Ovis aries: one gene and its partner. The protein of the gene in region 2 interacts with the protein of the main gene of each other region in a pairwise test. Links are inferred from orthologs where the notes say so. Each region holds a gene or a part of one and is shown on either strand. Other genes may lie near its edges.

The links.
Region 1: the proteins of TFDP1 (region 2) and E2F6 interact in binary tests that used the Homo sapiens proteins (3 or more experiments, as listed by UniProt). The link is inferred for Ovis aries from reciprocal best matches to the Homo sapiens genes TFDP1 and E2F6.

The regions. Positions count from the first base shown.
Region 1 is NC_056056.1:20,407,549-20,411,356, forward strand, and holds part of E2F6 (transcription factor E2F6), read right to left. Parts: intron 3,704-3,808; coding exon 3,547-3,703; intron 2,600-3,546; coding exon 2,486-2,599; intron 1,056-2,485; coding exon 899-1,055; intron 431-898; coding exon 381-430; 3' UTR 1-380. UniProt on the Homo sapiens protein: Inhibitor of E2F-dependent transcription. Binds DNA cooperatively with DP proteins through the E2 recognition site, 5'-TTTC[CG]CGC-3'. Has a preference for the 5'-TTTCCCGC-3' E2F recognition site.
Region 2 is NC_056063.1:86,062,653-86,066,460, reverse strand, and holds part of TFDP1 (transcription factor Dp-1), read right to left. Parts: intron 3,526-3,808; coding exon 3,419-3,525; intron 1,130-3,418; coding exon 1,008-1,129; intron 142-1,007; coding exon 1-141. UniProt on the Homo sapiens protein: Can stimulate E2F-dependent transcription.

The DNA of each region.
Region 1 (3,808 bases), on a different chromosome or scaffold from region 2:
ACACACCCGTCCACGCAGACATGACCCTGTGTAAGGCAACTTTTGTGACGACGACACATGATCTGCGCGGCAAAGGGCAGAGTCCACGAGGAGCTGTCTACCCTGCCTGCCTGTCTGTTTCACAGTTGTGTGATTCAGTAATTTCAGTAGGCAAGATGACCGCTTCACTGGCAAAAAAGCAGTGAATAATTATAAAAAGAGCTGCTTTCAAATGCAGAAACCGCCATTATCCAGAAATCTAAGCAGCAAAGTGCTTGGAGGCATTCCTGGCCTTCTTGCGGCTACCAAGCATGAGAAAATGGCAGGGATGATTTATTGCTCTGAGGATCTTCGTCCACACAGGAGTCCAAGAGACTCAACACATGGACCCTCAAACACCATCAGTTGCTCACTTCAAGCACTTCTTCACTTTGCTGTGGAAGATTTTCTTCTGAAAGATAACAAACACGGGAGAAATCTTCCTAAATGATGGTCTCAAAGGCAGGCAGCTAAGAGAACTTTCGAGATAAAATAGGAAGACCTCAGTCAAGAACCATATTCTTACGTGAGTGGCATAAGGCTAATGTTTCCAGTCTCACAAGAATAATAAACCAGGACTCAAGCATGAGCCTGAGGGCCTGGGTCAGAGGATCAGACAGCCTGCTCTACAGAGACCACACTCCAAAACCAACCATTCTAACTTTTCACGGATATTAAAATTACATGGGATTTAACAACAGGGTTGTTAGAAGCAGTAAGCAACTATAGCATAATTTTTAACTCATGTTTTTGTAGCTAGGAAGAGTAAAAATACCTCTAAGGCCATAATATTCATTTTATATTATTAATTTTCATATTCACAATATTCATTTGTAAAACTATACACATTTAAAAAATCGTTTTAAATCGGCCTGTTTACCTTTCTCAGGTTGAGGGTGCTCCAAAGGCTTGCTTTTGGATGAAGAGGTCCCTACACTGTCCGAAGTTTTATTACTTGAGTGGGAACCCTGCTCCACTTCACATAAATAAACATCAATGGGTCCTTTGGTGCTCCTGATATGTACTGTGATAGAATCCTAGCAAAAGACACAGAAAGCATTAAGATGAATGAGAGGATTCATGAATTACATTTTTTCACTTATTAGAACTGTTAAAGTTTCAAGGGACACTTTTGGAAATTCTCATCCAGGTAGTTTCTTTGCTGTCATATATTTGAGAATATCATGTACTTGCTTAGACTGAACCACAGGAAGCACTCACTAGGAAGTATCACTTCGAAGTCACAACTTGAGTGTGACTGGAATAAACAAAAGGTGCTCCTTAACTGTCTGTCATACACTGTCCAGTTAACAGCTAGGGTCTCACGTGCACTGTGGTCTTCTGGGGATAAAAGGGAAGGTGGGTAGGAGCTGCTTCACTGAGGGAGGTTAAGTCCCCTATTGCAAAGAAGAAGACACAACTTCAGTACTTCAGCACGACTTCAGTCTATCAGGCCTTCAGCACTCCATCTGTCCTAAGAATGGTCTCACTCCTTGATTCTGATTCCACCCTGAACACGCATCTTCAACGAGTATCTTTCAACACAAACTTTCCTGTAAGCAGTGGACAGTATTTCCACACACATTAATTTTACTTTTCATTTTAAATGTTTAACTTAGAGTCCTCCTTTCTCTGTTGAGTCTTTTATGAGTTTGGCTAGTGAGCTAATTCCCCAGAGCCCTGTTTGACACTGGATCTTAACACTGAGGCCAATTCTTGGTGATTCCTCTAAGAGCCCATGATAGTACGATGGCTAAGAACAGACTCTGAAACCAAACTGTCTGGGTTTGAATTCTGTTTCTCTCACTTACTGTATGATGGTAAGAAAGTTTATCATTCTGTGCTTTAGATTTCTCATCTGTAAGAGGACAATAATCATGACTACTGAGTTTCTGTTACTCAAAACACATTAAACACATTAAAATGGGTGAAGAGCCTTGAGCTGTGGATCAGGGATGCAGCTAACATGCACACTAGTTATTAAGTTACTGGGACTGCAACAACGCACAGCTGCCGCAGCTGGCTTGCCTGCCTTTGTTGTTGTTTAGTCACACAGTTGTGTCCAATTCTCTGTGACCCATGGACTGCAGTCCACCAGGCTCCTCCGTCCATGGGACTTTCCAGCAAGAACACTGGAGTGGGTTGCCATTTTCTTCTCCAGGGGATCTTCCCAACACAGGGACTGAACCCGCATCTCCTGCACCGTAGGTGGATTCTTTACTGCTGAGCCACCAGGGAAGCCCGTTTCCCTTTAAACCTTCTTAAGAACGGGAGTGGGGGGTGGGGTGGGGTGGAGAATTCTTGCTTGGAGAATCCCCACGTACAGAAGAGCTTGGTGGGCTAAAGTCCATAGGTGGCAAAGAGTCAGACGTGACTTGAGCAACTAAGCACATGCACACACACACAAACACGCATGCACGTAGGTGCGCGCATGCACACACACACACACAAAAGCAGGGCTACCTACCTCTTTGGGAGCTGGAACATCCAATCTGGTTTCTGCCGGCGCTTTAACTGCAATTACAATCTGTTCATAGAAGGCTTGGATGCTGTGAATGTCTTGATACGTCACATATGCTAGTGTAAAAATCAGTTAAGGGTCTCTAAACAGAGGGTGGAGATTAAAAAATAATTTCATATGTAATTCTTACTATTTCATCAACGATCCTTAGGATTTCATGAAGTGTTTTACAATATAACTCAAAAGAATTCTTTTATACTACTGTGATAGTGATGACACTTTCTGGAGAAAAAATAGTAATAAAGTCTGGGTGTTTAAAACAAAGACACCACACGAAGGTATTCAAACCTCCTTGTACTTTTCCCTATCATTGTTACATCTTATGAGAACCTCTAGGGGAAAAAAAGTGTTTTGATGAGAATCTCCTAAAATGTAAGGGAGAAAGAATCTGTTAGTAGTAGAAACAACTTAGAACCAGTTTTTCAGGACTATCACGTACTCATGGGAGTGCTCTCATCCCAAACTATTTTCCATCTTGCTACCTGAATTTTTCTCATTTTATTGTATTGCTTGAAATTTTACCATTTACCTGATTTAAAGGGTTTCCCCAGCATTTTTTTTTTTTAACTCCACAGACCTTTTTGACTGAGTCCAGTGACAGCATTTACTTTCCTTCCAATAACTGTATTGTGGAAACAGGAGTTTTTGACTGGTGTAGAACCTCAGTAAATTTGAAACGTGGACTAGCTCAGTATCGGTGACACCTCAGAAAGGTGCTGCATGGGGAACACGGCAGCAAAACTGTCTAGGAGACTAGGGGAGAGATCAGAATCAAAGACAATCTCCCCCTTTGGTCCCAGAGACACTAAACTGAAGAGCATGACCATCCAACTGCGTCAGGCCTGGTGGACTGGAAAGGCAGTTTCAGTATGATTTCTATAGCAGTTCATTCACTTCAAAAGGTCTGGTTTTGTATCTTAAATATATTAACTAAATTTCCAAGCTGAGCCTACTATTTAAGGTAATTGCTTTGGGAGATTTTTTTTTAGGGTACAGATTAAAGGATATCTTTCATTTTCTTTGTCATCTGTTAACTCAAACAACTGCTGAGCACAATCCTTGATTAACTCATCCAGGGCATCTTCCATTGCTGATAAGTCAGACAGCTCCTCCTGCAGCTTCTTCTGCTGGGGCACTGCTCCAAAATTGCTAAGATCAGACCCTCTTTAAAAGAAAAAGATCACTATCAACAACATCTGGGAGATTACAAATTAATACAAGTTCGGTTACTGGAATGTCTCCAGAAGTTTACACCTGGTGTCTCCCTCA
Region 2 (3,808 bases):
TCGGCCGCGCTGAACTCGGCCACCAGCTCGTCGGCCACCTCGTTGTAGGACGTCGTCCCCTTGCGCTGCACCTTCTCGCACACCTTCATGGAGAAGTGCCGCAGCCCCTTCCCGTTCTTCTCTCCTTTCCGGTTGCGCTTCCTGCGGGACAGCGCGGAGCGGCCGCAGCCTCAGCTCGCAGCGCGGGCCGGCCACACCCGCGTCTGGGGGCCGGCTCGTGCCGCCAGGGGCCCCCATGGGCCATGCCCAACAGAGGAGGGGTGGGAGCCTGGCTCCGGCCCCCGTCCAGGGACCCCCCTCCAGGGACCCCCCTCCTTGAAAGGCTGCAGCACAAACTTCCACGGGGCTGCGCCCCACACGTCTCTTCAAGTCTAGGGGAAAGCAGGGCAGGACCCGGGACACGCAGGACTGGTGTCCAGATGCTACACGGTGCTTGGTAATAAACATCCTTGGCTGTGAGGAGCTACGGAAGTTTAGCTGCAAATTTCGGAATTTGGGGCGAACGCAGCTCTGCTGAGACGAGGCCACATGGCAGCTGGGAGGGAGACCCAACACCTGACCTTCTAAGTCGCCACATCAGGGGAAGGGCCACCCAGGTTCCCCACTGGGGGGTTTCGGGGACTGATGGTTGTTGCTTTAGAACGAGTAGCTTTTTGTCTTTAAGGACAGTCGCACAGCTGACCTCTGAGTAAAACTGTTTCACGTTACTTTGCTTTTGGAGGAAAAGATCCAGGCAACAGTGTGACCGCGGCACGGGGCTGCCCACAGCCACGTTTAGCAGCAGGGGAGAGGCTGGAAGACCCACCCGTTTCCTGGGGCTCCACAGACGGTACTTTCCAGCATGGACAGTGCGCTTAGAGGCCGGAGCCCAGCCCTCAGTGGAGCCAGGGCGGCTGCCCACGGCCTGGCCTCTCGAGGGCCCGCGGGGCCACTGCCGGCTCCTCCGGCACGCTGGTGCCCACGCGCGCACAGAGGCTGGGTGGGGGGTGTTCCAGGCAAGTGCTCACCCAGCAGACCAAGGAGAGGGCTCTGAAGGCTGGTTCTGGGAGACGAAGTGAGTGTTCGGGGTGTGTGGGCTGCCTACCACGATAGTGTTTGGCGCTGCAGGCCTCTGAGGTGTACCAATCACCTACAGTCAAAAGAGACAATTCAGAACAGTCAGAATCTCCCACGCATGACACTGCCGCCTCATCAGTTCCTGTAACCTACAGCCGCCGCTGAGTGTCGTTAACCAGAGGCTGGAGGAGGGTCCCGAGAGCCCCCGGAGCCCTGGCTGCCTTCCGCCTGCTGCACACAGGTGGCTGGAGACAGCTCTGAGACCCGCATGCCCCACTTTCACCTCCTTCCCCCGCAACCCAGAGATGAGACTCTGCTTCACTGGGGCAGCAACGAGCCCCGGAGACGAAGAGGAAAAGAACCCAGGGCCAGTGGGGCTCACTGCGGCGACCCCAGCACCCGCTCACCCACGCAGGGAGCCCTGGGCACCCTGGCCAGCGCAGGGCGGGGGTGGGGTGCAGCGCCACCGGGGCAGAGGCAGGCGCCCACTGCTCGGGCACAGACACGCAGCCCAGAAGCCCTGCCCTGTGGCCCCGCGTTCACAGGGCATGCACACACCGCCTCATCCAGCCAAGCAGGAGCTCGGCTCCCCAGGGACTCGTGCCTGAGCCCAGAAACCACTCAGAAGCAGTGCTTCCTGGTGACCGGCGTGGGAGGCCCAGGCCCCCCGCGCTGGCGGTGGAGGGCGGGCCACGGCTGTGCTATTTTAAGCTGGATGCTCCCCCTGGTCCGCTGCTTAGCAGGATAAGGGCTACCTGCCGCAGCGCTGATACAGCTGACCTGGCACTTTGCAAATCACCCCTAAGCCCAGGTCACCTATGAATATCAGCGATCCAGACCATGGAAGGGAAAACAGCTCAGCTGAGTCCCAGTCTCTTAATCCACGTTCCCAATGATCAAAGCATCACCAGCGTTTCACTCTCATTCAAGAGATATGAAATCAAACAGCGTGTGTTCTAGAAAGTGATCAAACGGCACCTGTGTCCCAGACTGGACCAGGGTGGACGGCAAGAATCCCCAGAGCCGAGGCCTCGAGAGTGAGTGCTGAGGAGGCCCCGGGTCACGGCTCATCTCCTCGAGAGCCGTCCCTCCAGCGCTCAGGAAAACGGGCTCGGGACGGCGCGCCGCCCACGGCCAGGCTTGCCGACCCCCTGCCTTGGTCCCTGGCCCCCCGCTGGGGCCTGCTCCCCGCCCACCCGGAGAACACCCCCCTCAGCCACAGCTGCCCTGCAGGGAGAGCAGGTGCCCACTGGCTGTGCATTCCCAAGGCGGCCTTCCTGGACCACACGGGACATGGGGGCGGGCAGGGCACCCCATGCCCGTGGGCGGTACCTCAGCCTCACAGAGGGCCCTGTGGGTGCTCATTCCACCCTCACACCCTGATTTCCACTGCTTTCCACCGACCTCCTGTGAGAACCCCCAGCTCTCTGTGCCCAGCCGGAGAGGCACCGGGGTGTGGGGAAGATCGTGCCGGCTGATGAGCTCGGCCTGAGCCGGCTCTGGGAAGCCGTGGGGGAGCGTCCGCTAAGGGGCTGAAGGTCGGGACACCGACAGGAACCTCCGTGTCACTCCTGCTCCCTCTATTTAAACTGGAAACAGCACGAGAGCTGTCCCTACGCTCCCCGAGCCACTCTCAGCTGTGACTCTGCTATGAAACAACACACAGCACCTACAAAATAAGACGACGTGAATTATAGCTTCCATCAGAAAGACGTTCACTGACTGTGATGTTCCAGGAAGGCCCCAGCCTCCACGCACTACGTGGAGTGTTGCAGCAAAGCTGCTGAGCCAACGCGGTCACCGTCACAGTGGGGCTGAGCGACAGGCCGTCACGCACCTGCCGGGGGGCCAGGCCACAGGCGCGGGTGGGACACGAACGCCCCACCGCTCATGGCCACGGGTCGCATCAGGAAGAGGCCGTCGAGCCTGCAGGCAGGAGCTGGCGGGGCTCCTGGGGGGCACCGGGCGAGGCCCCGGGAGTCTGACCCCTCCCGCCAACCAGGAAGGCCAGAGCAGCCACGGCCCGCATCCGCAGAGCCCCGATCCCACAAGAGGCTGGCCCGGTGCCAGCCCCGCATCCGCAAGCCCCAAATCACGAAAGGCTGGCCCAGTGCCAGCCCTGCGTCTGCAAGCCCTGAACCCATGAGAGGCTGGTCCAGTGTCAGCCCCACGTCCCGGGCAGGCAACCAGCCCCGGCCAGGAGCAGCCGGCCCACCCGAGGGCATGCACCGCCCACAGGCCCCACGAGGGCAGAGGCAGGAGCGGCTGGGAAGCCGCAGGCAGGCAGCCCCGCGCCGGGGACGCCCGGCACCGGCCCCGCACCCGAGACCGTGGCCTTGGACGGCAAGCCTCCCGGCCTTACCACTTGCTGCGAGATGTTGACGTTGGACTGTCCAAAGGTCTTTGGCAGGAGCTGCTTCCCGAGAGAGTTCACTGTGGAGGGGTGGACAGCAACCAAGGACACCACGCCTGCAACGCGAGAGGCGCCGTCACAGCGGCCCTGAGGCCGGCCCAAGGCATCTGCGGCAGCCGAGCGCTGCTCGGGCCACCCTCCTGCCCTGGGCCCCATCCGACCCACAGGCGGCTGCAGGCACCTCGGCCGAGCCTGACTCCCAAACCTGGCAGCTGCGCCCACACCGCCCTCTCCCGACCACAGGCCCTGGCGTACACCAGGCCCTCGCATGCAGGCCTCAGGGCTCCACTGCACCCCGGCTGCCCCCAGCCTGCCCAAACCCCGTGGGCTGCCTGCCCC